Linked DNA regions of Stegostoma tigrinum. The protein of the gene in region 1 purifies or fractionates together with the protein of each later gene. This does not show direct contact. Links are inferred from orthologs where the notes say so. Each region holds a gene or a part of one and is shown in the gene's direction. Other genes may lie near its edges.

Evidence for each region.
Region 2: the proteins of dcp1a (region 1) and pnrc1 purify together in Homo sapiens (affinity purification with mass spectrometry; 3 studies listed by BioGRID and IntAct, with this or other methods). This does not show direct contact. The link is inferred for Stegostoma tigrinum from reciprocal best matches to the Homo sapiens genes DCP1A and PNRC1.
Region 3: the proteins of dcp1a (region 1) and ddx6 purify together in Homo sapiens (affinity purification with mass spectrometry; 8 studies listed by BioGRID and IntAct, counting the BioPlex papers as one, with this or other methods). This does not show direct contact. The link is inferred for Stegostoma tigrinum from reciprocal best matches to the Homo sapiens genes DCP1A and DDX6.
Region 4: the proteins of dcp1a (region 1) and edc4 purify together in Homo sapiens (co-immunoprecipitation; 9 studies listed by BioGRID and IntAct, with this or other methods). This does not show direct contact. The link is inferred for Stegostoma tigrinum from reciprocal best matches to the Homo sapiens genes DCP1A and EDC4.

The regions. Positions count from the first base shown.
Region 1 is NC_081364.1:29,252,676-29,260,637, reverse strand, and holds the start of dcp1a (mRNA-decapping enzyme 1A), read left to right. Parts: upstream 1-4,952; 5' UTR 4,953-5,024; coding exon 5,025-5,237; intron 5,238-7,962. UniProt on the Homo sapiens protein: Necessary for the degradation of mRNAs, both in normal mRNA turnover and in nonsense-mediated mRNA decay. Removes the 7-methyl guanine cap structure from mRNA molecules, yielding a 5'-phosphorylated mRNA fragment and 7m-GDP.
Region 2 is NC_081357.1:40,544,281-40,551,120, forward strand, and holds the start of pnrc1 (proline-rich nuclear receptor coactivator 1), read left to right. Parts: upstream 1-3,836; 5' UTR 3,837-4,255; coding exon 4,256-4,699; intron 4,700-5,331; coding exon 5,332-5,796; 3' UTR 5,797-6,840. UniProt on the Homo sapiens protein: Nuclear receptor coactivator. May play a role in signal transduction.
Region 3 is NC_081385.1:2,254,040-2,262,053, reverse strand, and holds the start of ddx6 (probable ATP-dependent RNA helicase ddx6), read left to right. Parts: upstream 1-5,011; 5' UTR 5,012-5,415; intron 5,416-8,014.
Region 4 is NC_081369.1:18,117,092-18,124,479, reverse strand, and holds the start of edc4 (enhancer of mRNA-decapping protein 4), read left to right. Parts: upstream 1-4,368; 5' UTR 4,369-4,448; coding exon 4,449-4,509; intron 4,510-7,388. UniProt on the Homo sapiens protein: In the process of mRNA degradation, seems to play a role in mRNA decapping. Component of a complex containing DCP2 and DCP1A which functions in decapping of ARE-containing mRNAs. Promotes complex formation between DCP1A and DCP2.

The DNA.
Region 1 (7,962 bases):
TGGGGATGGGGGTGATAGGAGAGGTATAGGAGCTGGTGTAGCACTTCCTGCTGTTGCAGGGAAAAGTGGTGGTGGTGGTGCGGCTGGTGGGGAGTATGGAGCGGACAAGGGAGTCATGGAGAGAGTGCTCCCTCCAGAAAGCAGAAAGGATTGGGAAGAAAAAATTGTCTTTGGTAGCGGGGTCAGATTGCAGATGGCGGAAGTGCCAGAGGATGATATGTTGGATCCAGAGGTTGGTGGGGGTGGTGCGTGAGGATGAGGGGAATTCTGTTTTGATTGTTATTGCGGGGAGCGGGGTTGTGAGGGATGAGTTGTGGGAAATGTGAGAGACACGGTCGAGGGCATTTTCAACCACTGTTGAAGTTGTGCTGCTTGAAAAATAAGGATATCTGGGATGTCCGAAAGTGGAATGCCTCATCTCGGGAGCAGATTTGGCAGAGGCAAAGGAATTGGGAATAGGGGATGGCATTTTTGTGGGAAGTTGAATAATAGGAGATGTATTCTAGGAGGTGGGAACACGAGGCGGTGCCCACGAGGAGCTCGTTTCCAACTCTGGCAACCACTTCAAAACCGATATCCATTTCAAGCCTACTGACTCCCACAGCTACCTGTGGAAACAGGGAGGTCCAGGAAGGAGAGAGAGGTATTGGAGATGGTTCAGGTGAACTTAAGGTTGGGGTGGAAGGTGTTAACGAAGTGGATGAACTGTTGAGCACTTTGTGCGCAAAACGTCCTGTTCCTACCTAGAATTTCCCGCAACTCATCCCTCACACCCCCTCCCCGCAATACCTACCAAAACAGAATTCCCCTCATCCTCACATACTACCCCACCAACCTCCGGATCCAACGCATCATCCTCCGGCACTTCCACCATCTGTAATCTGACCCCACTACCAAAGACATTTTCTCCTCCCCACCCTTATCTGCTTTTTGGAGGGACCACTTGCTCCATGACTCCCTTGTCCACTCCACACTCCCCACCAGCCCCACCACACCCAGCACTTTTCCCTGCAAACACAGGATGTGCTGCACCTCCCCCCTCATCTCCATCCCAGGCCCCAAGAAGATCTTCCATATCAAACAGATGTTCACCTGCACATCTGCTAATGTGATACACTGTATCCACTGTTCCCGATGTGACCTCCTCTCCATCGGGTGAAACCAAGCGGAGGCTTGGGGACCGCTTTATGGAACACCCACGCTCCGTTCGCAACAAATGACCGTACCTTCCATTGCAAACCATTTCAATTCCCCGTCCCACTCCTCGGATGAAATGTCCATCCTGGGTCTCCTGCAGTGCCACAAAGATGCCACCCGAAGGTTGCAGCAACAGCATCTCATATTTCATTTGGGAACCCTGCAGGCCAATGGTATCAATGCGGATTTCACAAGCTTCAAAATCTCCCCTCCCCCAACCGCATCCCAAAACCAGCCCAGCTTGTCCCTGCCTCCCTAACCTGTCCTTCCTCCCACCTATCCACTCCTCCCACCTCAGGCCCCACTTCCATCTCCTACCTAGCAGCCTCATCCCACCTCCTTGACCTGTCCGTCCTCCCTGGTCTGAGCTATGCCCTCCGTAACTCCCAACCTACACTCACCTTTACTGGCTCTGACCTGTCTGTCTCCTGTCCACCTATCCTCTTCTTTATCCATCTTCTATCCGCCTCTCCCTCTCTCCCTATTTACATCAGAATTCCCCTCCCTGTCCCTATATCTGAAGAAGGGTCTAGACCTGAAATGTCAGCTTTCCTGCTGCTCTGATGCTGCTTGGCCTGCTGTGTTCATCCGGCTCGACACTTTGTTATCTCTCAACATTAAACCTTCTGTTTTTGGAGCAAGACAAATTTCATAAATACTTGTTCCGAGGAAGGGTCACCAGACCCGAAACGTTAACTCTTTTTTCTCCTCTGCAGATGCTACCAGACTTGCTGAGCTTTTCCAGCAACTTTGTTGTTGTTCATAAATACTTGTATGCTGTAGTTTCACACAGTCAAAGCTGATCATAAGCCATTGAGAGCTATTTTGAATCTAAAGTCAGCAATATCCATTTCAATAACAGCCAGAAAGCAGAAATGGACTTTGATTTTGTCTGCCTAACAGTGAAATGTTAAGTACAAGCAATTGGAAGGTCATTATATTACCAAAGCTTTGTCTGGATTAGCATCCTCATCTGAGATAGAGACCAATATGGATGATGCATTTTGTTTTGCAGATATTAATGAGTTGCCAGTCACTCTGGAAGACATCATGTATTGGCACCGGTATACAACTACATCACGAATGGATGACAACACAAACTCTATTCCAACCTTCTCTGTCAGGCAGAAGAAACAGAAGCTTGGATACTTGCACCAACAGGTTCAAGAACAGCTTCTTCCCTGCTGTTATTTGACTGCTGAATGGACTGCTCAAATTTCAAACCTAAAGTTGATCTTGCTTTGTGCACCTCCTGTGTAGCTGTAACCTTGTATGCCTTGCTCTGTCTAAGCACCCTATGATCTGTACGTCTTTGTTTGCTAATGATCTGCCTGTGCTGCTCATAAAACAAAGTGTTTCACCGTACTTAGGTACATGTGGCAACAATAAAGCAAATGAAAATCAAAAGAAACTAATCAGAAGAGCACGCATCCAGTCTTATGTACAAAGAAGAAGTTACTGGCCAGACAGGATGTCTATTAGCTGAACCTCAACTATCTTCAATTGTCAGAATAAGAGTGTCACAGGGGACTGTGCCTTTCTAGGTAGGTTGGCACAGACCTATTACCTATGTTGGAAAATCAATTGAGCCACATCAGAAATGGCTCAATGCCTGTGGCATGAAAGGTCTATGTGGTGCTGAATTTCTATGTCTCAGGATCACAGCTGAGAATACTGAATGATTTAGGGACATTTCTGGATAGTCCAGATGCAGGTTATCATGCATGTTGTCAACAAGCTTCCACAAACCAGGCAACAGCCTTTATCAGCGGAAGACCTTCTGCACAATGTGCATTTCATCTGTGCAACATTTCAGTCAAGCAACTGTGCCACATACATACTTAGGAAAGACTAGGTGTCAGACCCAATTAGGTACCCAAATATTTGTTCCATCCATGTTCAAGGATGAAACTGGTTGACAAGGGCTGTTCATTAAAGAAACAGCTAACAATGCCTATAAGGCATCCAACAAATATATGCAGTGGATAAATACAACATCTTCTGGGGTTAACTCAAACAATTATCAAGCAGGCCATGGGACGATTCCAATGATAGCTTGATTGCTCTAGTGGAGTCTTCCAAAATGTCACAGAAAGAGTGCTATGTGCCCTGCATAACTGATTACAAAAGACCTCCAGTATTGATGGACACCGATGTTCCATCTCCATGGACACCAGAGCATGGATATATCCAAGAAAAAAGAATCAGATAGTTGGGTCAAATAACTTCCTCAACAGTTCACTGATGGACCTGTTAATTACCAGGCCCATGAGCATGCTAAAAAATAAGTTCTTCAATCTGACTACCCCACATTGCACTGGATGGCTAAGATGTAACAAAATGTTGAGAACAGCCCTCAAATATTGAAAGAGGACATACATTATTGTATAGTGTACATAAATATATCACACAGGCTCCTCAAGACAAGAGAGTAGACAAGATTCACGCCTGCCCCTGAGGTACCCAATGGTTGCAGAAGGTCTCAAATATACTCCCCAGGAGCCCTTGCCACCTCCAGATGGCAGAACATTATGCTACAGTATGTTTCAGTAGCTGATGAGGAAGTTTCTCTGTATAGAATCTTGCTTTGGACTATGGGAAACACAACAGGAGCATTCATCCAAGATTGAAACATGGGACCTGATGCACATTCACTCAACAGAAGTCCTAAAGGAAGAACCCATGTCCCTAGACTAAGGGGTCAACCTCATAGTCTTTTTATGTCTCTTATCAATCTCAAACCACTGCCCATTCCCAATCCTACTTCCTTATGTATCCTGCCAGAAAACAAAACTCTTCTGATTCACGTACAGTTACACTTTCAAAATCATTATCACGCTAAACTTGAAAAGTGCAGATGAACAATCTCCATTGCTCAACTCTTAATAAGCAACTGTGCAATTTTAGAGGCCTGTCAATTGCTACATGTTTGAAATAATTATTTATTGAAGTAGTTTAATTTCACAAAACTTGAGTATTGCCAAAAACAGGAAAAATTTGTTAATTTTGAAAATTTTCTGAATAAGGGTCTAGACCCGAAACGTCAGATTCTCCAGCATCGGCAGTGCCTACTATTCTTCTCGCCAGCAATTTCTGTTTTATTGTTCTGATTTCCAGCACTCGCAGTTTTTTTTAATATAGAGGAAATGTGAGTTTTTGTGGTCGAGTAGCATCCCTCTGGCATTCTATAATGTGTAGAAAAAGAAAATCAAGAATGACTCTCCAAAATAAATCAATGTGTGCACACGAAGCAGTTATTTGTATATCAGGGTACGGCCAGGACTTCGCAGTGAGTTACGTACGCGAAGTGATTCTTATAACTGACTGAAATTCGAATTAAATAACACGCGAACTGCTCCTTACTGTATTTGCACCTGTTTACTGTACCACTTAATCATACGCATACGTTTGCTATTTTTAATGGGATACCTCACCATTTATAAGATTGATGACTAAAAATCTCCCAAAGCTTTGCCGCTGTTATTCCTGCGGATTACCAGGGCTACGCCGGTGCAATAAATTTACTTATGAGCTACACTTATTAACGATACGTTGATGTGTCTGATTTAACAAGTGGTAGTGACACGTTCACTTTGGAATAAGTAATGGTGAGGCACGAGGGACAAATGACGGCTGCAAAATAGTCACAGAAGAATTTTTCAAAATCCTTATTGTAAAGGGAGGGGTAATGCTCGATCTTCACAATTTTATCCCTCATTTAAAAAAACTGCGTTAATGTTTTACCGATGTGAAGCGGAAGAGAAAAAAGCTCCATTTGAATCTGCAAACTGGAAGTGTTGAGGCGTGCGGATATTTTGCTGCAGTGAATGGTTTGTCTTTCCGGGAAGAAGGTCAGGGGGAGGGAACATTTCTTGAGTTTCTCCTTTACACAACTCAGGAAATCCAACATGGAGGCCCTGAGTAAAGGCCGCGATATAAGCCTTTCTGCCTTGAAACAAAATGACCCTTTCATCTCCAGCATCGTCGATGTGACCAGCCAGGTTGCGTTGTATACTTTTAACCCAAAGGCCAGTGAGTGGGTAAGATGGTGTTTCTTCATTTCGTGCTGGGGATGAGGAAAAAGAATAACCAAAACGGCAGCGATCTTTATGAACTGCTTTACTTGCCTGGGAAGCCTTTTGAAGTTTTCGACGGGCGGCTGTGTCTCTGCATTTTGCTTTTGGCCCTGCAGCACAAATTTGTTCAAGTCTAATATCTTGAAGGTCTGAGTGTTGAAGTTAAATAAGAAGGTAGAAACTTAACGGTCAACATTAAACAGCTTGAAGACCTTTTTATACTCTAATTCCATACTGATTCATGTTGCATACGAAACTATTCGCACCAGACTTCATCCTGCGCTATGAAACATAACCTTCTGTCACTTTCATTCTCTTATATTTATCCAATGTCTTTCCTTAATCATCAAATAACATTACTAAAGTTTCTTGAAAAGGCTCAAGTGGCTTGAGACTAGCATTGAATTGTGATGTCCGTATGCTCTTCCTCAGCCAAATCCTTCAGTTTCTTTGGTTAAGAAAAATCGATTGACCTTACAGCAGTTACTATTGGACGAAGAGTCCAAACTTTTCACTCTTTGTCTGTAAAATGTGTTTCTTAACTGCACTCCTGCAAGGCCTGGTTCATACTCTTAGATGTACAATACCTTTGTAATCAGACTCACTGACCAGTAGAAATAACTTCTCTACACCTTTTTACTTGTTCCCACTAACGTTATAAATGGTCAAGAATACAGGCTTAATGTGATTTGTCCGTTTGAGTTTTAATCTGTACAGTCCAGGCAGCATGACCAACTGTTATGAAATGATCGAAGGGACACTTCATCTGGGGTTGATGGGGTTTTCAAGAAATTCCATGAATGAAAATAATGTGGAATTAGAGCCTGTCATCTGCATGTTTGGCTGCTCTTTGAGTATTTTGCCAACAGCTTGGGGTTAATGGGAACACATTGCAACTACACCAAGCCACAATGGGAATTGAAAGAAGTGACTGTAGTTTGTCTTTTTGACTACCTCATGAAAGGTACAGAAATGTAGGACAAATGATATCTCTGGAAATGCAAGTGACCCAATTCTGTTGGGTCACTGAGCCCCTGAATCAATCTGGTAAAACCTGTACTCCACTCTTTCCAAATCTAACGTATCTTTGCTATGGTGTCACTCTTAAACTGCATGTAGTATTTCAGGGCTTTGCATTACTGAACCATACTTGCCTATGTTGAAATTCATTTGATAATTTTGTTAAATCACATGAAATTAGATACGTCCTTTTTATACAACATATATTGTCTATTTTATGTTTTCTGGACAAGCTTGGATGTGTGGATTCCTATTATGCTAAATCAATAGAATATCTACGTTTTCATCATCAGACTCATGGCATCCTGCAATTTTTGTTTTGAATTTGCTATGAAGTATAGTATTTAAAATTGAAACAGTTTGAAAATTCAAATATCATTTTTAAGTTTATGCTTCAAAGAATAGCTCAATAAGATTTCATACTTTAAAACTTGTTGTCACAATTGACTAAAATATATTAAGACTATAAGTTGCTGACAAAATGGAAACAAACAATTTTGGGGAAGTGTCACAGTGCACAAGGAGGCCATTGTGTCTTTACGAGTACATTAATGAGCATCACTATAAGGTGCCAATCTCCTGCTTCGCCCCCACCCTGTGTAACATTCCACATAATTTGGATAGAAATAATCTCCCAAAACCCTCTTGAGTGTCTCAATGGAACCAGATTTCACCACGCTTCAGCTTGTACGTTCCAGACCCTAATTTCCTGCTAATTGAAAAATATTGTCCTCAGTTCTCCCTGGTTCTTTGCAGGTCACTTTAAGTTTATTCCCTTCTGTACTTGCTTTTTTTTTCACAAGTGTGAGTTGTTTTTCCCTATTTGCTGTATCCAATTCACTCATGATTTTGAAAATTTTCCATCATATCTACTCTTAGGACTGTTCTCCTTGCAGAGAAGAAGGCTAACTACTTAAGTTACGAAGGTAGATTGAAGTTCCTCATCCTTAGAACTATTTTTATAAATAGATTCTACGCTCTTTTCAATGCTTTGACGTTCTTTGTAATATGGTGCCAGTTCTGTGCAACATACTCAAGCTGAGATCTAAAAAGTGTCTTGTACAAGTCTATCTCCTTGCTATTGACCCAGTTAATAAGACCAAGGACTATGTACTTTTTACTTATTGCTGTCTCTATACCTGTCTTAGCACTTTCAATGACTTCTGCACATAGGCTCCCAGGTCTATCTACTCCTACACTCCCTTAGAATTCTACCCATTATTTTAGATTGTCTTTCAGTATGTTCTTCCCACCAAAATTCTTCTCTACATTGTCATTTATTGCCCCTATCGTAAACTTGCTAGTGAAATTAACACTACCATCCTTGCATTTTACAATTCTTGCAAGTTTTGTGTTCTCTGAAAACTTTGAAATTTAACTCCTGCACACAAAACCTAGATTATTTAATATATATATTTCAAGAACGAATTACTTGGATCTAGTCCTTGAGACTAAAAGGATCACAAGGTATGGGGAGAAAGTGAAAACATGATACTGAGTGGGATGATCCGCCATGATCATATTGAATTTTAAAGGGCCCACATAGCCTACGCCTGTTCCTACTTTCTGTGCCTCTATATTAGTAGAGGAAAGATCACAATGCTGACCCATGGAACTGAATTGCAAATCTGCCTACAACCCCAAAAAAATCTATTGACCATAGTTATCT
Region 2 (6,840 bases), on another chromosome or scaffold:
CTTAGTACATGATAAATAAATAAATCGGATCCCTTCGCTTGCAATTCAACTGTTGACACTATACTGACACAGACTGACACTTTTGATCACATGCAGAAACTTATTATTTGACACTCCACTCACATCATTTATATGTTCTTTTGAACTTTCTGCGCTTGATCTTTCTGCATATAAATTCTGTGTCAGTGTCCTTCTCTCTCATTTCACCTGACGAAAGGGCTATGCTCCAAAACTTGTGATTTCAAAAAAAACCTGTTGGACTATAACCTGGTGTTGTGATTTTTGACTTTGTCCACCACATTCCAACACCGCTACCTCCACATCATGACTAACATGACGTGTCATCATTCAGGAAATACACAAGCCTGCATTCTTACAAAATCTAAAACAAATTCAATCATAATCTAATTGAATGGCAGAACAAACTTAATGAGTTGGATAGCTCACTCCTGCTCCTTGTCTGTATGTTGACTAGGACCATTCAAGAAATTATTGGAAAATCATAACTAATGCATGCACTAGCTCTACAACATGGAGCCATATTTCCAAAACTCTTCATTGGCAAAAGAACGAGCTACCAAAAGACACAGATTTAGGATAATTCCCAAAATACTTACAGGCAACATGAAGTGAGAAATGGAGAAGTCTTTGTGGTACAGTGGTAGAATCTAACTTCAAGTATTATTTGCCCCAAAGGTATGTCAAAACACTTGATTAAAAGTGGCTTTTGGAGATTTTGTGGTATCAGGGGTAGCATTCCTGCTCCCAGACATCATGACCACAGGAAGATTCAATCATAACAAGGACATAAGAGAAAATACGAATGCTGCAAGTTCATAAAAATAAATAAGCTGTCTGAAACAGTGGGGAAAGCAGGGTTCAATGACTATATTTAGCAAAGATATACAGAAGGGGCAAGTAAGTGGAACTAATTGGATTCCTTTCAAAAAATAAAGTCAAATTCTCTTCTGTTTTACTTTATGCTTAATCAGTTCTTTCAAATCTAGTTAATGAACCACAAGGGTGAGATATTCAAGCATTAGAACTGGTGAAGAGAAAGGACTGATTCATAATCTCAAATGTTTGACTTATAAGGAAAAATTGAGGACAGGAAAGGAGGCATCTAAGGTTATCCTAATTGGTGTGAGAACAGTAGTTGTGACAATCTCCCTAGGAGTTGTTAATTTTTAAAAAAAAAAATCTGATTACCTCAGTCCTTTGTTCTGGTTACTTTTCCAGTATTCCAAACTGCTCCAGTTTCTTTTGCAATAACACTGAGAGGAACTACTGCCTTCAAACTCGACAATCTTCCATCTTCTAATCCCTCACAAAATTAAAACGGAATTTAAATCTCACCCACGTAATGGTCAATGATGAAAATAGCTTACAATGCAGGTCTTAACATTTATTTAACCACCTTCTGCAAACCACATGAGGTAAACTCTGCAACTAACTTTCTGAGGAAACGTTTGTGACAAACTGAAACTAGAAAAACTGATTGCACTCTATCCATCACCAGGCTGATATAGCCTGCTCTGAGTTATACTAAAATTGATGTTTAAATTAACTTGCAGTCTCAGAATGAGTTTAAAACTGAGATGAGGACAAGTTTTTATTCATTGAGACAATCATAAATCTTTGAAAGTCTGTACTTGAGAGAAGTGTGGAAAATATAAGTTATTGAAAATATTCAAGTGCAAGATCAATAGACTTGCAGCTATTAATAATAAACGAAAATGAAGACTGTGGGAAAATAATGTTGAAGTAGATCAGCCATGAGCTGCTTGAGTGATAGAGCAAGCTTCATGAAGAAAGGGATTCCTCCAGCTTTCCTTTAATTTATAATACCTTCTTTAATATGAAGTAATTGGGTTTTCCAACCTTTTAGGATTTACTGAACTGTTTCAAGCTTAGTTAATTTACATCTCTCTCAACCGAAGGAAAGTTGACATTTTCGGTCCTGACCCAAACGTCAAATTTCCTGCTCCTCTGATGCTGTCTGGCCCACTGTACTTCCCCAGCTCCACATTGTTATTTCTGACTCCAGCATCTGCAGCTCTTGCTATTTCTCTGAGCTGCACATCTCCAACTTTTCACAAAATAAGCTTACTGACAGTTTTATGATATTACCTTTCTAGATGTTAACCTCTGAAGGCAACATGCACCAACATTTTAAACAACATCAGATGTTTCAACTATAAATTGCATTTATCTCAATTTTTCCAGTTAAACTTTAATTCTTAATTGTATTCTAAAACTGAAATATATTCTAAACATGAGCTAGATATTCACTGCATAGAATAAATCAAATTGATTGAGTAGAATGTATGGGACACCAGTTCAGACTCTTAAACATATTTGATTGCTATCAAGAAATACTAGGGACGGGCAAGAAATACTGGCCAGCCAGTGACGCCCACACCACACAAATGAATAAGAAGAAATTAATTTTGCATGTGAAAAGTAATTTATTAAAATTAAGATGTTTATAGCTAGATAAATTAAGATAGACAAAACAGCCTTGCTGAACAATAATTGCCTTGTAATTTTATGATAGTTGTACTTTTTAAATTCTAGTCACAAGTAGAATCCATGTTTAAACCAAGGACTACAAACTTAAACAAAAACTAGAATATATAATTTTTAAATACATTTTAGTGTTAAGTATCTAAATAGCGTCTGCAAAAAGTTAGGATCTTATCTTCAACCCAAATTAGTGACTCAAAAAGTTTTTTTTGCTCATCTCTTGCCAATGTTTAATAAACCTGTTTGGATATGCTGTGACACACCTCGAAGGTACTTGCCTGATCCAGAAATAACTTCAACGTTAATTCCACTCGTACAATTATTTATCCAGAAATTCATTAGTGGCTGATCGCCTGTGAACGATTGGGTAGCGAGTAGGAAACAGTAATAAAATGTTCCAAAGCAGTGCAGACTAGAGAATGTCCTTACAAAGATGGTGCTTGAAGATCACTTTTAAAGGGTTAATTTCTATGATATGAAATTGCAAAACTCTTCCAAAGCATTGGTGCTCCTAGGGCTATAGATTGCGTCAGAATCAAAAGCATAAACTCATTGCCTTGGGGAGGTGGCAATGTTTAAGGCAAATTCCTGAACGCATTCGAATACCCGGGCTGAGGACGTGCTTTTCGTATAAGAAATAGAAAGCTATTGGAAGTTTTACGGAAGTACAGGGGGAAAATGGAATGAATCGTGTTTTTCTTCTGAAAATAATCATTTTATTGACTGATATTTATGTTACACAATGTCAACGTAAGGAAGTTCAGAAATCAATTAGCGTTTTAGTCAAAGAACGCTTCTTCGGTTTTAGGAAATTCGTTGCGTGTCAACGAGTACAATTTCCCGTATTCCCGGGGAATTTAGGGAAATCCCACAGCAAAAACAGTGGAAATCATCGCCACACCACGTGTCATTGAGCAAGAATTCGAATTTCGATCTGAATGGACTGACAGGTTTCAGGACGTCCGACAGCGCAGACGTCACCGCCCCAGAGACGGAAATTACCGTCACGTGATGATCATTTCACTGCCCACATACACAAAACTCAATTCCAACGGTCTTCACGGAAACAGGGAACTGTAAGCAAGTACGGCAAAACAAATAGTTAAAAAGGTTACACGTACGACTGCAAGAAATTAGACAAGCGACAGACTTATGTGCGCCTGCGCCCAACTTCAATACCCGTTGCCGCATCCGGGCTCGTCTCTCAGACCAATGACATCATGGTTGCTAAGGGCAAGAACAGGGCGGGACGGGACGGCGCGACCAAGTCTTTAGTCACGTGGCACCACCACAACGCGCTACCATTGGTGGGTACCGGTGAGTGATGACGTGTCGCGATCGCCTGCCTTCTCCATTCCCCCCCCCCGTTGTTGTCAGAAGTGTAAGACTGTTGCCTCCATGGTTCTTCGTGCTGTTTATAAGCTGGAGTCGGCCTCTTAGTCTTTGCCTGTTATTAAACCCAGCCAGCGACATATACATATATATATATATATATATATAGCTTGCGTTGGGAGGAAAGCTAGAGTCTGAGGTAGGAAGGTTTTGCGAGTGACCGAACAATCGCAGGAAGTCGCTTCAGTGGCCGCCATTTTCACTCAACTTTTAATCCGACGACGAGCTGTATTTATTATCTGGAGGTAGGCCAGTGACTCTCCTCTTTCCCCGGACCCACCCCCTCCTTTGCTTCTCAACAATTACTTTGGAAGAATTAGACGTTTTTTGGCATTGCATGGTGACCGCCTCCTTCGTTGAACGTCGCACCTCAGATGCTGAGTTCGGGATTTTAGCCAGAAGTCGTAAGCGGAGGAAGAGGCGGCGGCGGCGAGTCCCCATGCACCCGTTACCCCTACCCCGACCACCGCCAGGCCCTCCGCCCGTCAATGCAGCCTCAAAGACCGTCGTTGTGAGCCGCCACCGTCACCCGCACTCCAGCCAGCAGCAGCATCATCATCAGCAATATCCCCAACAGCATCCCGGCAAAGCTGCCGCGGTGAGTCGAGCCTGGAAGATTCGCTGCTCTTCCTCCGCCGCGCTGCTGCAGAGACACTCTCACGGGCGGCCGGTTTCCCGAGGCGGTGGGGCTGGAGGGCCCGCACCAGCCTCCGGGATCGAGAAAACGACACCAGCCAGTGGCGGCTGCTTGACCGCGGAAGAGCGCAAGAAGGAAGTAAAGGTGAGAGACAAGAAAGTTGATGCCTCTACGTGCCTGCCCTGCATCCCACTGTTTAGGAATTAATAAGGGGGGAGGTAAGTGGGAAACATTCGCCGTTCTCGGTTAGTAGTCCTAGCCTTGCCTTCAGGGCGGGAAGGGCCCTGTTTAAACGCTGCGGCCGTTCGACGGCTGTTACGCCGCGCGCCCTCCCCTTTCCCTCCTCGCCCACCCCAGCAACAAGTGGCCAATCAGCATAGTTCATCCACCGACCAATGGCGACAGAGCCAGCCGTTCCCCAGGTGACGGTTCACGAGGTTCCGGGGGGCAGGGGCAGGGTCAGTGCCGAGACTTCTCGCAAGTTGTCAAATCTCCCTCTCCGCTCCTTTTCTTCTCTTCCCCCTGTCCCACCCCCGTCCCCCATTCCTTAACTATCTTCTTGAGGTACAGCGAGAAGAATCTCTTCGTAAGATGATAGGAGTTCGATAAACGGAGCTGATCTTAATCGTTTTTGTTAGATTGTCCAGTTTCACGGATAACGGCATAAAAGAGGGAATTCCCCACTGGGGCATTCACTAAGAACGTAGAAAAACACTTATGGCTGTTAGCTCTCTCAAATTTTGCAGCCTTTCTCTTTTTTTTGTTTTCTGCCCCAGGTGACCAAATCCAACATGGGAAGATCGGATAAAGCAATAATTCCACACACACAATTCATATATAGTGTAAATAAAACAGAAGAGTATTGCCAACCTTTAAATGCCAAGAAAAGAAACAGACGTAGCCTACAGTTGAGAAAAACTTCAATAAAGAGGAATGAAAACAGCCATAATCAGAATGCTCCTTCTGTTGAACACTGCAATACTGTCAAAAAAGATGGAGAAAAACCGATTGTTTCTGCACACCACTCAAAGAATCTAAAATTACTGAAAGTTGGACTGAAGTCTGTGCTGAGCCTTCAAGGAGATCAAAACTATGCTGGGCCAAAGTTTAGTGAGCCACCATCACCCAGTGTTCTACCTAAACCGCCCAGTCATTGGGTAGGAGCACATGCTGAGTATCCTGATGAGAGTAAGGAAATAATGACTGTCCACTTAAAAACTTTACTCAAGGTTAATGTGTAATTCAAGAGTAGTTCAGGTTAACTTAAACATTGTACTAGACGAAAAAATTAAGAATGTTTCTGTCAGGATTGGACTTGTTGCAGCAGAAAGTCCTGCATTTTAGACAATTGTAACTTCCTCCTTGTGATTGTGGGATAACCGTATGCAAGTGGTGCTAGTAATGAAGTGGAATTCTGTATATTAGTGTAAACCATGTAATTATTTGTATATTTTCGTATACTCAATTTGAAAGAAAGGAATTATAATTTCATACGAGAATTTGTTGCCCTATGCCAGTTGGTGGGCAGAGTTAAATTTTTATATTTTGTATATAAATGGGAAAACTGAAGTTAAAGGCTCAAGCATTGCAAGTTATTCACTGAATGCAAAAACTAACAGCTGAAGAGTTGTGTACTCCCTTGTAAAGATGTTTGACAATCTGCAATATGTTCTTGACCGTGAAATAGACTATGGGCGAAAGATAGAATGATTCAAGCACTGCTTTTATCTGCACTACTGAAGGATACTACGTACCATCAGCAAGATGCACTTTCATCTTACTGGGTGTTTTAATATGTAATGTGAAGATTTTTTTAAAAATTTCCACCAAATTCATCTATAACGCCTTGGCTGGAGGAGGAGCATAGTTTTTGGTCTTTGGTAAACACCGTACCTCCTGGTTAACAGACAAGTTTTGTGGATCCTCTAAATGTTGATCTCTCAACAGTTGACAAACTTTTAAGCTTTTTGATAACTTCCCTCATCAATTTTCCCAATCATTGCAGCAGATTGAAATAATGAGCTGTGTGTTACATACTTGTCAGCTGATCTAAATTTCTGACACTTCCACTTTGGAAGGTGGGAAAATTCTTAGTATTTCTGATCCTGCTTTCTGATTGTATCGTTGTACTGTGGCAAGTATTGTCTGTTTCATTGTGGGTATTTTACTGGATTTCTAAGGTGACTGGATGATTGACTAAATGAACCTGCACTGAACCAAGATGCACACAGGGCCAATGAGACTTCCCTTCTAGTGAAAATTGCAATTTATAGTATAGCTAAATC
Region 3 (8,014 bases), on another chromosome or scaffold:
TCTGGAATCAACCAAGTGAATCTCCTCTGCACCCCCTCCAGTGCTAGTATATCTCTTCTCAAGTAAGGAGACGAAAACTGCACACTGTACTCCAGGTGTGGCCTCACTAGGCCCCTATACAGCTGCAGCATTGCCTCCCTGTTTTTAAACTCTATCCTTCTAGCAATGACAGACAAAATTCCATTTGCCTTTTTAATTACCTGCTGCACCTGCAATCCTACTTTTAGCGATTCATGCACAAGGACACCCAAGTCCCTCTGCACAGCAGCATGCTGCAATTTTTTACCCCTTAAAGCATAGTCCACTTTGCTGTTATTCCTACCAAAATGGATGAACTCACACTTATCAACATCGTACTCCATCTGCCAGACCTTTGCCCACTCACTTAGACAACTGAGATTCCTCTGCAGACTTTCAGTGTCTGCTGCACACTTTGCTTGAGCCACTCATCTTAGTGTCATCTGCAAATTTTGACACACCACACTCAGTCCCCAACTCCAAATCATCTACGCAAATTGTAAACAATTGCGGTCCCAACACTGATCCCTGAGGCACACCACTGGCCACTGACTGCCAACCAGAAAAACACCCATTTATCCCTACTCTTGTTTTCTACTCGTCAACCAATCCTCTATCCACGCCAATATAGTACATGTAATACCGTGCAACTTTATCTTATGTAGCAGCCTTTGGTGTGGCACCCCGTCAGAAGCCTCCTGGAACTCCAGATACACCACATCCACAGGTTCCCCATTGTCCACCATCCAAATGATGTCTTCAAAAAATTGCACTAAATTAGTTAAACATGGCCTACCCTTCATGAACCCATGCTGGGTTTTCCCAATGGGACAATTTATATGCAGATGTCTTGCTATTTCTTCCTTAATGATAGATTCAAGCATTTTCCCCAATACAGAAGTTGAGCTAACTGGTCAACAGTTACCTGCTTTTTGTCCACTTCACTTTTTTAAACAGTGCTGTCACATTGGCTGTTTTCCAATTTGTGGGAACCACCCCAGAGTCCAGTGAATTTTGGTAAATAATTACTAGTGCATTTACTATTTCCCCCATCACCTCTTTTAGTACCCTGGGGTGCATCTCATCAGGTCCAGGAGACTTGTCTACGTTTAGCACCCATTAGTTTGCCCAGCACTGCCTCCTGAGTGATAATGATAGTTTCAAGGTCCTCTCCTGCTATAACCTTTTTGCCTTTCGTTTTCGGCATGTTATTTGTGTCTTCCACTGTGAAGACCGACACAAAATAACTGCCTCGGCTATTCCCTCATTTCCAGTTATTGAATTGACCTTCTCATCCTCTCAAGGACCAATGTTTACCTTTGCCACTCTTTTACGACATGCATATTTTGCTGCCTGTTCTTATATTCTGAGCTATTTTACTCTCAGAATCTATCTTACTTTTCTTTATAACTTCTTTGTGGCTTTCAGTTGACCTTTAAAGATTTCCCAGTCTACTAGTTTCCCACTACTCTTTGCTTTTTTGTATGTTTTTTTTAATCTGATACTTTCCTTTATTTCCTTAAACATCCATGGCTGACTATTTCTTTCCCTACAGTTCTTCCTTATCACTGGAATATACTTCTGCTGAGCACTGCGAAAAATCAATTTGAAAGTCCCCCACTGTTCCTCAATTGACCCAGCATAAAGTTTTTGCTTCCATTCTACCTTAGCTAACTCCTCCCTCATCCCATCATAGACTCTTTTGTTTAAGCACAGGACATTGGCACTGGATTTAACCTTCTCACACTCCATCTGTATTTTAAATCTGTATTTTAGGGCAGCTTGGTGGCTCAGTGGTTAGCACCGCAGCCTCACAGCACCAGGGACCCAGGTTCGATTTCAACCTCAGGTTACTGTCTGTGCAGAGTTTGCACATTCTCCCCATGTCTGCATGGGTTTCCTCCGGGTCCTTCTGGTTTCCTCCCACAGTCCAAAGATGTGCAGGCTAGGTGGATTGGCCATGTAGTGTTCAGGGTGTGTGGATTATAGGGGGATGGGTCTGGGTGGGATGCTCCAAGGAGCAGTGTGGACTTATTGGGCAGAAGGGTCTGTTTCCACACTGTAGGGAATTAATCTAAATTTGACCATACTATGATTGTGCCTTCCAAGAGGATCTCTAACTGTGAGATCATTAATTATTCCTGTCTCATTGCACAGGCCTAGATCTAGCATAGCTTGCTCCCTCGTAGGTTCCATTACATATTGTTCAAAGAAATTATCGTGGATGCATTCTCTGAGCCCCTCCTCAAGGCTGCCATGACTGACCTGGTTTGACCAATCGATACGTGGATTAAAATCCCCCATGATAATTGCTGTACCATTTTTACATGCATTAGCTATTTCTATGTTTATTGCTCGCCCCACCACAATGTCATTATTTGGTGGCCTATAGACCACACCTATCAGTGACTTATACTCCCTGCTATTCCTAATTTCCACCCAAATGGATTCAACCTTTTATTCAGTAGAGCCTATATCATCTCTCACTACCACCCTGATCTCATCCTTAAAAATCAGAGAGACACCACCTCCCTTACCTTCCTGTCTGTCCTTCCGAACAGTTTGATAGCCCTGGATATTTAACTCCCAGTCATGACCATCCTGCAACCGTGTCTCTGTAATGGCCACTAAATCGTACCCATTTGCCATGATTTGCACCACCAATTCACCCACCTTGTTTCGGATGCTCCAAGCATTCAGATAAAGTGCCCTTATGCCAGGTTTTGCACCCTTTTTCTGAGTCCTATCACCTCCATTACTAACAGCTCTTCAGTTCTCTTGAAGCTTCGTCCACCTACAGACATGCTGTTTTGCTTCCCTGTACGCTCACTCCTCCCTTCCCCCGTACTTACTAGTTTAAAGTGCTGTTGACCACCCTATTTACCCTTGTCACCAGATTAGAACAGGTTGATTAAAATATCTACAACTAGCTAGGCCACACTGACATAGAGTTATAGCAATAATTTGTATTTATGTGGTGTTGTAATATAATAAACATTCCGAGACATTTCATAAAATATAACAGTGAAACATAGTATGAGTTACTTAGGGAAATGATCAAAAACTTCAAAGATATAGTTTTTAACTTGTGACTTAAACGAGGAAGGTAGAGAGGTGGGTAGATGGATGTGGAGGGAATCCAGAGCTTAGGGATTGGCAGTTGAAGGTATGGCCACCAATGGTGGTGTGATTAAAATCAGGGATCCTCAAAAAATCAGAATTAAGCTTGCATTACCTCAGAGGACTTGTGGAGCTGGAACACATTATAAATAGTGATCAACAAGCTAGAGAAGAATTTTAACACGAGGGTAAAAATCAACATCCTGGGAGTTACCAATGACTAGAAATGAACTAGATACTGTGTAAATACTGGGGCTACAAGTGCAGGTCAGAGGCTGGGAATTCTGTGCCAAGAGACTTACTTCCTGACTCCCATAAGTCTACCTACCATCTACAGGATACAATCCAGGAGTGTAATGGAACACTGTTCACTTGCCTAAATACACAGCTTAAGAAATTTGACACCACCCAAGATAAAGTACCAGTATGATCAGTACACAATCCATCACCTTAAAATTCACTCCCTCTAGTGCAGACATACAATGGCAGCATTATATTCCATCCCAAAGATGCACTGCATCAGGTGGCTATGCCTCCTTTGAAAGCACCTTCCAAACATAAGACCTCATCCAGAATGACAAGCAGATGCACTGGAACACCACCATCACCCTCAATTTCACATCAAGCTATACAACATTCTGACTTGAAACAATATCACTGTTCTTTCACTCTTTCTGAGTCAAAAATATGGAACTTCCCTCCTAACAGTCCTGTGGGGGTATCTACATCCCATGGACTACAAAGGTTCAAGAAGGCGCTCACCGTCATCCTCTCAAGGGCAGGGCAACAAATATGCTCACGTCTCATTGAAGAATAACACAAAATCAGAAAACTGTTTAGTAGAGGTTGCCATGTAAAAACTGACTGCTTCATTTCTCATGTTGCATCTGTCAGGAACTAGGCTGTAATTGGCTGCAAATCTCAATGAGACATCTGATTATCATGCAAAGCACTATATAAATGCAAGTCCACTCTGCAGTGATAGGGTGGGAGGGGAATTAAACTAAAATACTAAGATGTTGTGAATAATAATAATAATAATAATAATAGCTGCTCAGACCACATTCCACCTGTGGTGGTTCATGAAGATTTGCCTTGCTTATACTAGAGTCAGAGCCAATGGGAACTGCAGATGCTGGAGAATCCGAGATAACAAAGTGTGGGGCTGGATGAACACAGCAGGCCCAGCAGCATCTCAGGAGCACAAAAGCTGGCGTTTCAGGCCTCGACCCTTCATCAGAAAAGCATTTGCATTTGCTGATGAAGGGTCGAGGCCCAAAACGTCGGCTTTTGTGCTCCTGAGATGCTGCTTGGCCTGCTGGGTTCATCCAGCCTCACACTTTGTGGAGGCAAAATGGTTCTCCTCAAGGCATTTACACTCAGCTAAATGCCTATGCTTCCTGAATGGACTTTGAATAAAGAACTTCCAGTAAGTGCTCACAACCTATGAATGTACAAAAAAATATAAGATTATGGTGTTGTTTAACTGTGGCTAGTGTAGCCGAGGGAAGCAGAGGGGTAGTTATCAAATCAGAGCTCATGGTACAAAATAAAGCCAACCATTCCAAAATAGTCCTCGTATCTGTATTTCAAAATAATCACCTCGAAAAGACGTATTAAACACTTCCTGTGGCAAAACATTCCATGCTCCGACATTTTTTTTAAACTTCGAGCAATTGTCAGGAATACTCGAACAGAATGGGGAATTTGAAGGGACATGTAAGTGAGACCACTCAACGTGGATGGATTCAATTTCCAAATCCTTGCGACATCTCGATGGAAAATGGAGCTGCCAGGAGAGGGCGCGAACTTGCTGCTGCAACAACAACAACAGCATCAGCAAACAGCGATACAAATGCAGGAAAAAAAAACAAAGCAAACCATGACAAATCCAGGAGGGAAGAGAGGAAAATAAGTGACCAAGAGCAACAGTAACAAAAAAAATTTCCCAAATTACTCTGGGCTAAAATCAAGGCACACATTGCATGGGGTGGGGGGCAGATCACGTGGTAGGACAATTTCGCCCGACACGCCACCAATAAACTTAAATTAAATTCTTATACTGATGACAAATTCTGACAGTTTGTAGTTGATTTATTGAGTTTGATGAGGTAACCCAGATGTTTTTTGGGGGTGGGATAGCTTTAAAAGTCAACTGATTGATTCGGGCTCGGCCGATGACGTTGGGCCGAGGGAGAAGACGCCATATTGGAATCGGGCAGACAAAAAAAGCGAATAAACATAAGCAGAGTCGGAGAGAAATCGTCGCCATCGAGGGTTTGTTCAATGATGTTTTTTTCTTAACACTTTTATTCGAGTGTCAGGAGTTAGGATGTGATTTTATTTTTGGAAACGGTCGCTTACCTGCTGTTATTTATGAAGCTGCGTAGGATGTTGATTATTTTTTCCTCTCTTCCGTTGGCCGTTGCTTTGCTGTAAGGCCACAAACACTCTGTTTTGTCGTTTTTTTTTTGTTTTAATGTGTTTGACCGTGTCTTTTAAAATTTCGTGTTTTGAATCCAGTTTTTTTAAATTATGCGTTTTTCGCGAATATGTCGAAAGATTTCGTTAAATGTCTTCTGAAAATTGTAATTTACTTAATTTCTGATAATGCTGTCGAGACTTGTTTTTCTCTTTATGAATTTTTTAGGAAGTGTTTGAGCTTAGGCTGTTCCTTTTTTTTCGGGGTGACGGAGTGGTAGAAGGCGGCCGGAATTTTATGAGCGAACTGGTGTAAATATTGACCCTTTTCTCCCTCACTTCACTCTTTCTTGTAAACTATAGCTTCTCACTCCGTCTGCTGGCTGGTAAAAGTACATAAATATCTATCTTGCATATTAAATAAAGCGCGTGGATTTTTGTTTACTCCTGTGAAGCTAGATTTTTCTGTTCCAGTTTTCGTTCTGTTTATGTCACTACAATGTGACAGATGGTGTTGGGCCTTTAGGGTTTTAAACATCATAATCTTGCTGTTGTTCCAAAAAAGATAAAAAGCTAACAATAGTTTGGAATGTTGATACTTTCTTTAATTTCAAGCGATAGAACTTATTTTTAAAATTAAAAATGTCTAAGCTGTACTAGAAATTCTACCTCAATGGCTAAGGTTAAGGTTAAGTTCTTGTAATTGAAGTTTCTGCAGCCCTTGGTTGTTTTTAAGGACGGTTATCAACTTTCATTTAAATTTGTTTACATTACATTGCCAAAGTTTGCTATCTTGATTTTTATGTTGTGAATGCAATCTTGTGTAGATGGGATAAAGATAAATTTGTTACAAAATATTAGAAAAATAGTGACTACTTGTACATCACTTTTTTTCGTGGTAAAACATCCCCAGGCACCAGAACGTTTGTTTTGACAATGATACCAAAGCACAAAGAAGTTCCCATTGGTAAAATTTGAGCAAGGAGGTGGGTTTTAAGGAGTACCTTAAAGGAAGGAAATAAGGTTGACAAGGTTTTGGAAGTTGAATTCAAACTTTTTTGTTTCAAAATTGGTTGATTATCTGCTTTGATTTTTCCCTCCCTGCTTAATACATAAGACATTTAATGTCCTTTTCGGGAAGGAAACTGCCATCCTTACCTAGTCTGGCTTATGTGTGACTCCAGACCCACAGCCATATGGTTGACTCTGAACTGCTGTCTGTGCAGTTAGGGATGGGCAATAAATGCTGCCTAGCCAGTGGTACCCTCATCCTCTTAATTGTTTAAAAAAAATTTTAAAAATTGAGTGTTCAATCCCTCTTACGTAACCATGTTTGATTTTTGGAAGGTTGATATATGTTTGGAATATTGTACCGATGATTTTTGTTTTGAGGTTATTTAACTTAGTCTGTTTGAACAAGTGCATTCTGATTTGTCCATGCTGTTCAGTTTAACTAAGTTTTTCAATTTTGGAGGCAGAAGTGATAGGATAGAATAGAATAGAATGGAGTAGCGCAAAGTCAGCAATTAATTCAGTGTTTAGTATAGATGTGTTTCAACTTATTGAAACAGTTTAAAATACCTGCCTTTGCCCTTTATACACTAGTTATTAGTCTATTCCACTGCAAAAAGAGCCAGTGGCAAGTTTTAATAATGTTAACTACCTATGTCCAATGCAATGTCGAACTTGTTGTAAATTGGATGAAAATGATTAGGTCCAGATCAGTATTATAAAATGGCAAGCTATTTGATTACTTGGAAGCTGGCAAAATAACAGTTTTCTTACTGTACATAAAATATGCTGCAGGCCATTTGGCCTGACCAGTCCATGGCAGTCTTAATTCTCCATGACACCTCCCATCTCTACCTGCTCTAAATCTATTATCGTAATTCTCTAGTCTATCTCCCTCATGCCCGTCTATCATTTCCCCTGAAATACATCTAATCATTTGCTTCAACCACTCGTATGGTAGTGCTTTCCACGTACTGGCCTTTATCGTGCAAGAGTTTTTCTGAATTCCATATTCTATTTCTTGACTTACCTTATATTGATGGCCTTTAGTTATGCTTTTTGCTACCAAGCAGAATCATTCTCTATGTCCACTATATAAAGTGATGAAAGGTTTTGATAGAAACATGTAGTTCACCTCCCAGCTTGTGTTTTGAAAGGAGATCCAGGCTGTTCACTGTTTTGATATGTGTATTATATGCATGTGTATTGTTATAATCGAGGGCACCAAGGCTCCTAGTTCCTGCATCTGTGCTGTCCTGTCCTAGTGCTTCTGGATCGAAGATGACTTGCTTCCTCTTCCTTCTCCAACTTAATAGATTTTGACATTTCTGATCAGTCTGACTGTTCTGTCCCATGCAAAACAACTTGTGCGTGAAGGATAGGTAGATAGTTGCTCAGAAGTTTGCGTACTGTCCTGATATCTTCTGTCTCTGTGTTCCTGAGT
Region 4 (7,388 bases), on another chromosome or scaffold:
GGCAATTCGGAGTCAGCCACGTTGCTGTGGGTCTGGAGTCACATGTATGCCAGAGCAGACTTGTTTTAAATTAAAATATTTTAACGGAAGTTGCCTGGATGTTGTTAAGTTTTTTTTTAGAAAGAAAAGGAATGATTGTTTGTGAAGAAATAAATTTATCACAAAACCTATTATCCAACAGCTGAGGCTGGTCATAAATTTGAATTTTTCACAGTTTTTGGAATCCCTATAAAATAAGAAAGTTTAGCAAGTTACTTTTGAGATTTTTTTTGAACACAAAGAACAACAATAAATAGTATTTAGTAATGCCTTGAACCACGCGGCCATGTTTCATTGGTTTTAAAGATGTTATGAAAACATTTTCTTTTAAACAGGACAAATAATGTTTTTCGAGAGCTCCTGAATCAGGGAAAATCAGGCAAGCAAGGGACTGCACACTTAGAATTAAACTATAATGACAGGCGTTGTTAAATCACATGAAAAGAAAGTAGAGGTGATTAATTAATTGATATTGAAATTAACTGGGAGCTTTCACTTGGAAATATGTGTGCCCTTGACCATGACCTTTTGTAAAAGACAACTTAAGTGAATGCTTTAGTCACTAAAACACTGGGACCAAACAGGGAGGAGATACAAGCACTCCTACACCACTTTCGATTTTTGAATATCACTTGAAAGTCAAGCATGTGTGGCATGACGTTAGGATGACTATAAAGGTGCTGAACTGATTTTTAGATCCGAAGTAACTAACATGAGGGGATCATGGTGAAAATGCCCTGCAGACTGGGTTTCAGAGTTTTCAGTTATTTGACACAATGCTTATTGTGGCCTGAAGAACAAGAAAACATCAAATTGCCAGTATACTGACTCATAATCCAATGGGAAACTGAAATAGTGGTTGATAAGTGAGTAAAATTTAAAATGAAAAGAATATTCAGTGAGGCATTTAAAAGTTACAGGGAGAAATATATAATGAGAATTACCTACAAGATGAAAACAGACGAAGGGAGGTCTAGACAATCTTCTACGTTTATGCATGATATGTTGGTGTAATGTTAGGATAGCTGGTCAAAGGTCCTGGGAATCATTGAAGGTATCCTATGTAGAACCAGGGAGAAGAAGGACAAGTCAAACAACTTGATGTATGGAAACAAGAAAGCAAATAACATGGACTATAAAACCAGAACAAACCGGTACCAACAAATGGAGAAAGGGTCAGTAAATAGCCTAATCATCACCTATATGCAAAAACAATTATACAATGATGTGAGCTATGAAACACTACTGCACTTTGCTTAGAAGGGGGAGAAGCTTACTTGTGTCATTATGACATAAGAAATCCAAGTAAGCCAGTCTGTGACTTCATTCTGGATCCAGTATCATCTGTTTATGACACAAATGTTCAGAAATGAGAACAATGCATGGTATTTTCAGTCAGCATAATGTCTGGAGAATGCGATGTGGGGAAGAATGTTGGTCCATTTGGAGTCCTAGCTTCTGCTTTCAACCCACTGATACAACTATGAGGGAAAATCATTTCTTGAACCCTGTATCAATGTTTACATCACGGATAGTAATATGGTAGCTGCACTGATATGGCAGTGCTGAGGTATACCTTTTCTATACAGTGGTAGTGAGAGTACCAAAGTTGTCACGATTCTTTTATCTAAGTCTATTGCATATTAACCACTTGAGATACATTTGGCTGTCTGCATGTTGTGGGAGCTTCATACTTAAATTAACATACACTATACTGGGCAGTGGAAGCAGTCACCAATGCACCCTCGGACTCTATGTAACAAAACAAAACCTTCTTTACTCAAATAAAAAATAGAAGTTACTGGAAAACTTAAGATTTGGCTGCATTTGTGCAGAGAGAAACAGGGTTAATGTTTCGTGTCTGGTATGATTCTTCTCGCTTTGATTCAGGCTTGAATATTAGCTAAGTTCACACACTTGCCATTCAATGAGCTGTTAGGCCAGGTCACACTCTGTGTCACTCAGTCTGCTCCATCTTTTAACCAAGGCTGGGAAGTGAGAACTTCCAGCTTTAGAACAACGCCTGTTTGCTGATAGCTGTGTTTGTGCTGAGGAGAAACTCGGACCTCTGACTTGATCAGGTGTTAGGAAACTCTCATCCCAGATCGGGATCTAGATGTTGCCTAGTCTGCAGTTAATCCATTGCATTCTCACTGAAGTCATGGCAGGATCGTGCAAAAAGGTCTGCGAATTTTCTATTCAATTGATAATTATTTTCTGTAATTTTAAGTTATTGGTTTAGGATAATACCAAACCAACGGTAAGTATCTGGAACAGGAACAGAAATTGCTGGAGAAAATTGCAAAATCTGGCCATGTCTGTGGAGGGAAAACAGAATAATCCTTTTTCAGAATTGATAGCATCTGGTGAAAAGTTACTCCGTTTTCTTACTCAACCAAGGATTTCCCACCCCTGTGGTTGACAGTGCCCTTAGCCAAGTCAGACCTATCACCTGCACTTCTGCCAACCCCCTTCTCTTCCTTCCCACATCAACAATACGGTCCCCCAATCTCTACTTTCCATCTCACTGGCCTCTGCATCCAAAGCACAATGAGCAGACATTTCTACCAGCTACAGCAGGTTGGCACTATGAGATATACCTTCTCTTGCCCTCCCCTCCCCTCCCTTGTCAGCTTTCCCTGGGACCGTTCCCTCTGGGACACCCTGCTCTCTCCTCCTTCTCCAATTCCAACACCTTCTCATGAAATCACAGAACTTGCAACGCTTGTCTGTTTACCTACAATTTCCTCACTCTTCTAGGTCCTTGACACCCCTTCCAGGTGAAGCAGCAATTTATCGGCACTTCACTCAATCTAGTCGACTGTATTCACTGTTCACAATGCAGTCCCCACTACATGGGGGAGACGAAATACAAGCAAGGTGACCGCTTTGTAGAACACCACCTCATCGGAGGCTCACTGATGATGTTACCTAGAATGGTGACGAAACGTCTGAAAACTAACCTTCCAGCTCAGCGAGCAACTCACAGCCAGAACCTCAACCTGAGCTACAAATCTTCTCAAAACTCACTATCACCTATGTTCTGTCTGTAAAAAATGACCATAAGCTTCCTGTTACCTCTCAATTCAACACATGCTAACCTTCTTTTTCAGCTGCTGCCGTTCTCTAGCAAGGCTCAGCAAAAGGTAGACGAACAGCATCTCATTTTCCATGTGTGACTTTGCAGCCTTCAGGACTCATATATATATAAAGTTCAATAATTTTAGAACCTAAACAACTCCATCCTTATCTTTCAGCATAGCCAACTTATTTTTACACACGCATAGTCTCTGTTATCAACTATTTAGCTTTTTTTCTTCCCTGGCTGACTGTCAACAATCTACTTATACCTCTCTCTGGGATCTTTCTCTACCTTCCTGATTACCTTGAATTTATCCACATGTCTTGTTGTACCATCTTTTATAATAGACGGAAGCATTTTCCCAACGATAAATAATGTTAATTGGCCTGTAATTTCCAGTTTCCTGCTTCCCTTCCTTTTTTGACGAATGGAGTTAGACTACTTATTTTTCAATCTAAAGAAACCTTCCCTGAATCAAATCAGTTTTGGGAAATTAAAACCAATGCATCAATTGTTTCATGGGCTACTTCTTTTTGCTTTGTTAACTTTTTAAAAATATCTGAAGAAACTTTTTCAATCTGTTTATATATTTTGGTTAAATTTCCTTAAAGATCTATTTCCTTCCTTCTTATTGATGTTTTCAGATTTAAATTGTTCTGCACTAGACAGGAAATAAAATCCGAAAAAAACTGCGGATGCTGGAAATCTGAAAGAAAAAGAGAAATTGCTGGAAAAGCTCAGCAGGTCTGGCAGCATCTGTGGCGAGAAATCAACAGTTAACGTTTTGGTTTCAGTGACCTTTCCTCAGAACTGTTCAAAACAGCAACTTCTGTTTTTGTTATATTGTCCTGCATTGTCTTCCGACTTGAGAGCATATTGAACCGTCCCAAAAGCATGACACATTCTCAACTCAAAGCTGCCACTAGTCTCTGCTTTCTGCCTCCAAATGTTTGGTCCTGCATTTCTGGAGGTCCATCCCTTAACCTAAATTAGCATTCCATTTCACACCGTATGATCTTTTTTTCTCTGCAACATGTTTCCCTTTTCTTCGTGAAACTTACATATGCATCCATTGGTACATCATCATATCAGGCGTGAATGAACCTTGTTATTCATTTAGGAGTACAAAGTTATTTGGTGACGGGGTGCATCGTATCGCTCCAGGACGGTCCGTTGGGCTGGGGTTCGGCAGTCAGAGGGAGAGTTTGTGATTACACCGGAAGAGACCTGTTTGTCCGTGGCACCGCCGACTGTTTGGCGGGGTGGCTGCGTGCGCATCCCTCTGGTTTTCGGGCCGCTGCCGTCGCCACTCAGCCAGGCGTCTAAGATGGATATTGAGAATGCTACACAGCACCTGCGGGATATGCTAAAGCTGGACCGGGTCTCCGGTAAGTATAGAGCCCGGGCCGCTTTGTTTAAAGGCTGCGTGAAGCCCTGGAAGCGGCTGACTTACTGGGGCTGGGCGGGTGTTACCCGGGAATCCTGGAGGTTGGGTGGAGTGAATCGCTTTAATCCGGAGTCCAGGCCTTGTTTACTGGGACCTCCACCGTAGATTGGCTGTCCCCTGAGGCACTGCTTTTTCCCTTCGCGGGGCTTAGTTACTCGAAGATGGTTCTCTCAGAATCGGGGACCTGCTACCGGCCCGTTGTCCGTGTGGTGGGGTTAGCTGCTCGAATGTAGTGCTTCCAGAGGGTGGTGTCTTTGCTGATGCCAGATATTGACCGAAAAGAACTATATGACCTGCGGATGCTGGAGATATGAAACAATAAACGAAATTGCTGGAGAAATTCAATACGTCTGGCAGTGTCTGTGCAGAGAAAGCAGAGTTAACGTTTTGGGTGTAGTGACCCTCCTTCGGAACCAATTTGTTTTTGTTGTTCAATATGTTTCACTGGTCAGCCAGTCGACTTTCAATTTCGTTTCCTGGAATAACACTGTTTATCACAGTCTAACGTGCAGGCAGAAATTTCTTACCGGATTGCTTCGACAGCTTGTAAATAAGTTCAGATGTGGATGCACCGACAGTCAACGTATGTTGGCTTTATTCTTAAAAGAGCCAAGAAAGTAGTAGTGTTGATAATTTGGCCTACTTGATCATAACCTGCATCTAGACTTTTTAATTTGAATTGATGCTGTAAATTATCATCTGAATCCCCTTCCTGTTCAATTATAATGGTAGAAAGTTTTGCTTAGTTCAGTTTAACACGTGTTGTTAAACTAATACAGACTTATGTTGACAGACCCTCTTGAGTGTTATCTTCTGATATTCTCATGCTTCATCAAGTTTAATTTTGACCTTTGTTGAAAATGGTTATAATCACTGATGGTTTGCTTAATATTTGCAAGCTTGCAATCTTTTTCATTTTATATAACGTGTTATGGACAGGAAAATGAGCCTGTCAGTCTAAGCCAGTTTACATTGTACGTTATGAAATTAACGCCTTCTCTGGAAAGGAACTTTTTTAAACTTTTGCGGTAAAAAGAACTTCAATGTTTCAAGACTACTGAGCATACTAACCCTATAGGTGTACGTTGCGTTGTGATATACATCATGGCTTTCAAGGTTCAAGGATAAAAACCTTCACTGTTTGTTTCAAAAGGCTGAGGGGTGACCTTAGAGGTTTATAATGTTATGAGGGGCATGGAAGGGGTGAATAGTCAAGGTCTTTTCCCCAGTGTGGGGAATCCAAAACTAGAGGGCATAGGTTAAAGGTGAGGAGGGAAAGATTTGAAAGGGACCTGAGGGGCCACCTTTTCATGCGAAGGCTGGTGCATGTATGGAATGAGCTGTCAGAGGAAATGGTGGAGGCTGGTATGCTTACAAAATTTAAAAGGTACCTGGATGTGTATATGAATAGGAAGGGTTTAGAGGGATGTGGGCCAAATGCTGGCAAATGGGACTAGATTTATTTAGGATATCTGATTGGCATGGATGAGTTGGACTGAAGGGTCTGTTTGCAACAAGGTTTCCATGCTGTACAGCTCTATGATGCTATAATAATGGGTCTTGCATGCCGGCCAGTTTGGTATTGACAGGAACGTCAAGTACGTGAACATCTCTCACCCTGGAGTGTTGTCAAATTCTATGTTTTGAGGTTTGACAAGCTGCAAATTTATTACAGCACCATTCTAACACTCCTGCATAAGTGTTTGTTTGTAGATTAACCACATGCATAAGTCCAGTTACAAATACATTGAAGGTAAAACCAGGGCTTGTATTTCTAACCTATCTGTCCTTTCCTGATAGAGTAGAATATGTTAGGCTGTTGGGTCTGTTGTATCATGTTTCGTTCTGCAGCAGTACATGCATACTGGTGGGTGAAAATATTGTTAGTTTAAAATGTTGCTTGTCTGTAACATAACTGGATGATCTTGTCGTTGTCACATTACTGTTCGTAGGATTTTGCTGAGCACATACTGGCCACTGTGTTTCTTGTATAGCAGCAATGACCACATTTTTTTCCTCTGCTGAGTGTAAATGACTGCTCTGAGCCTCTGCCTTCATGAGATAAGTCACCATCTTTTCCAGAACAAGTGCTCTCTTTTGGGTAATATTCCACAATCAAGGGATGAATTTTCCAACGTTTCACTGAAGGAATCTAGCCACATTAAGATGCTAAAAGGCTCGAAGCGTCATTTTCCAATAAACGAGGGCTGTATATTTGTTTAACTTCAGAAAGTCGACCTGTTAATCTCTGTAATATGGATGATTGTGGGCATCTGAATGAAACAAGTTACCTCATCATAATACATTAAGACTAATTCATGATGGGATTGTTCCACTGCTAATGTCATAAAGCTTTCCACAGGATAAAACACTGATGAATGAGTTTTTCCAACAGTTAGGAGAGCCACCATGGTGTAATATTTGGTAGTGTTTTTTGTGCTGATTGAACTAAACTACAGTAAACTTTTTGTCGACGCAGTTGACCAACTTCAAGCTATTAGAAATAACCCTATAATCGCAACTCAAAGTAGTCTTGAAAAGAGACATCTCAAGCCCCTCATCTTACAACTCAACTATTTTCTTAGAAATCCAAGATAGAATAATCTTACCAGGTTTCTTTATTTGGGGACTTAAAAGGGACAGAGTTGCTTGCTTGGTATACTGTGACTATACATAAGAAATTAGTTGATAACTTGGTAAAAACAGTCTAAATGTTGTCAGCTGTTGAGGTAAATGAAGGGGTTTGAGTGAATCTCTAAGAAATTGTGAATTTTATGCTCAGCTCTTTAATTAACTTCTATATTCTTAAGGATTTATGTT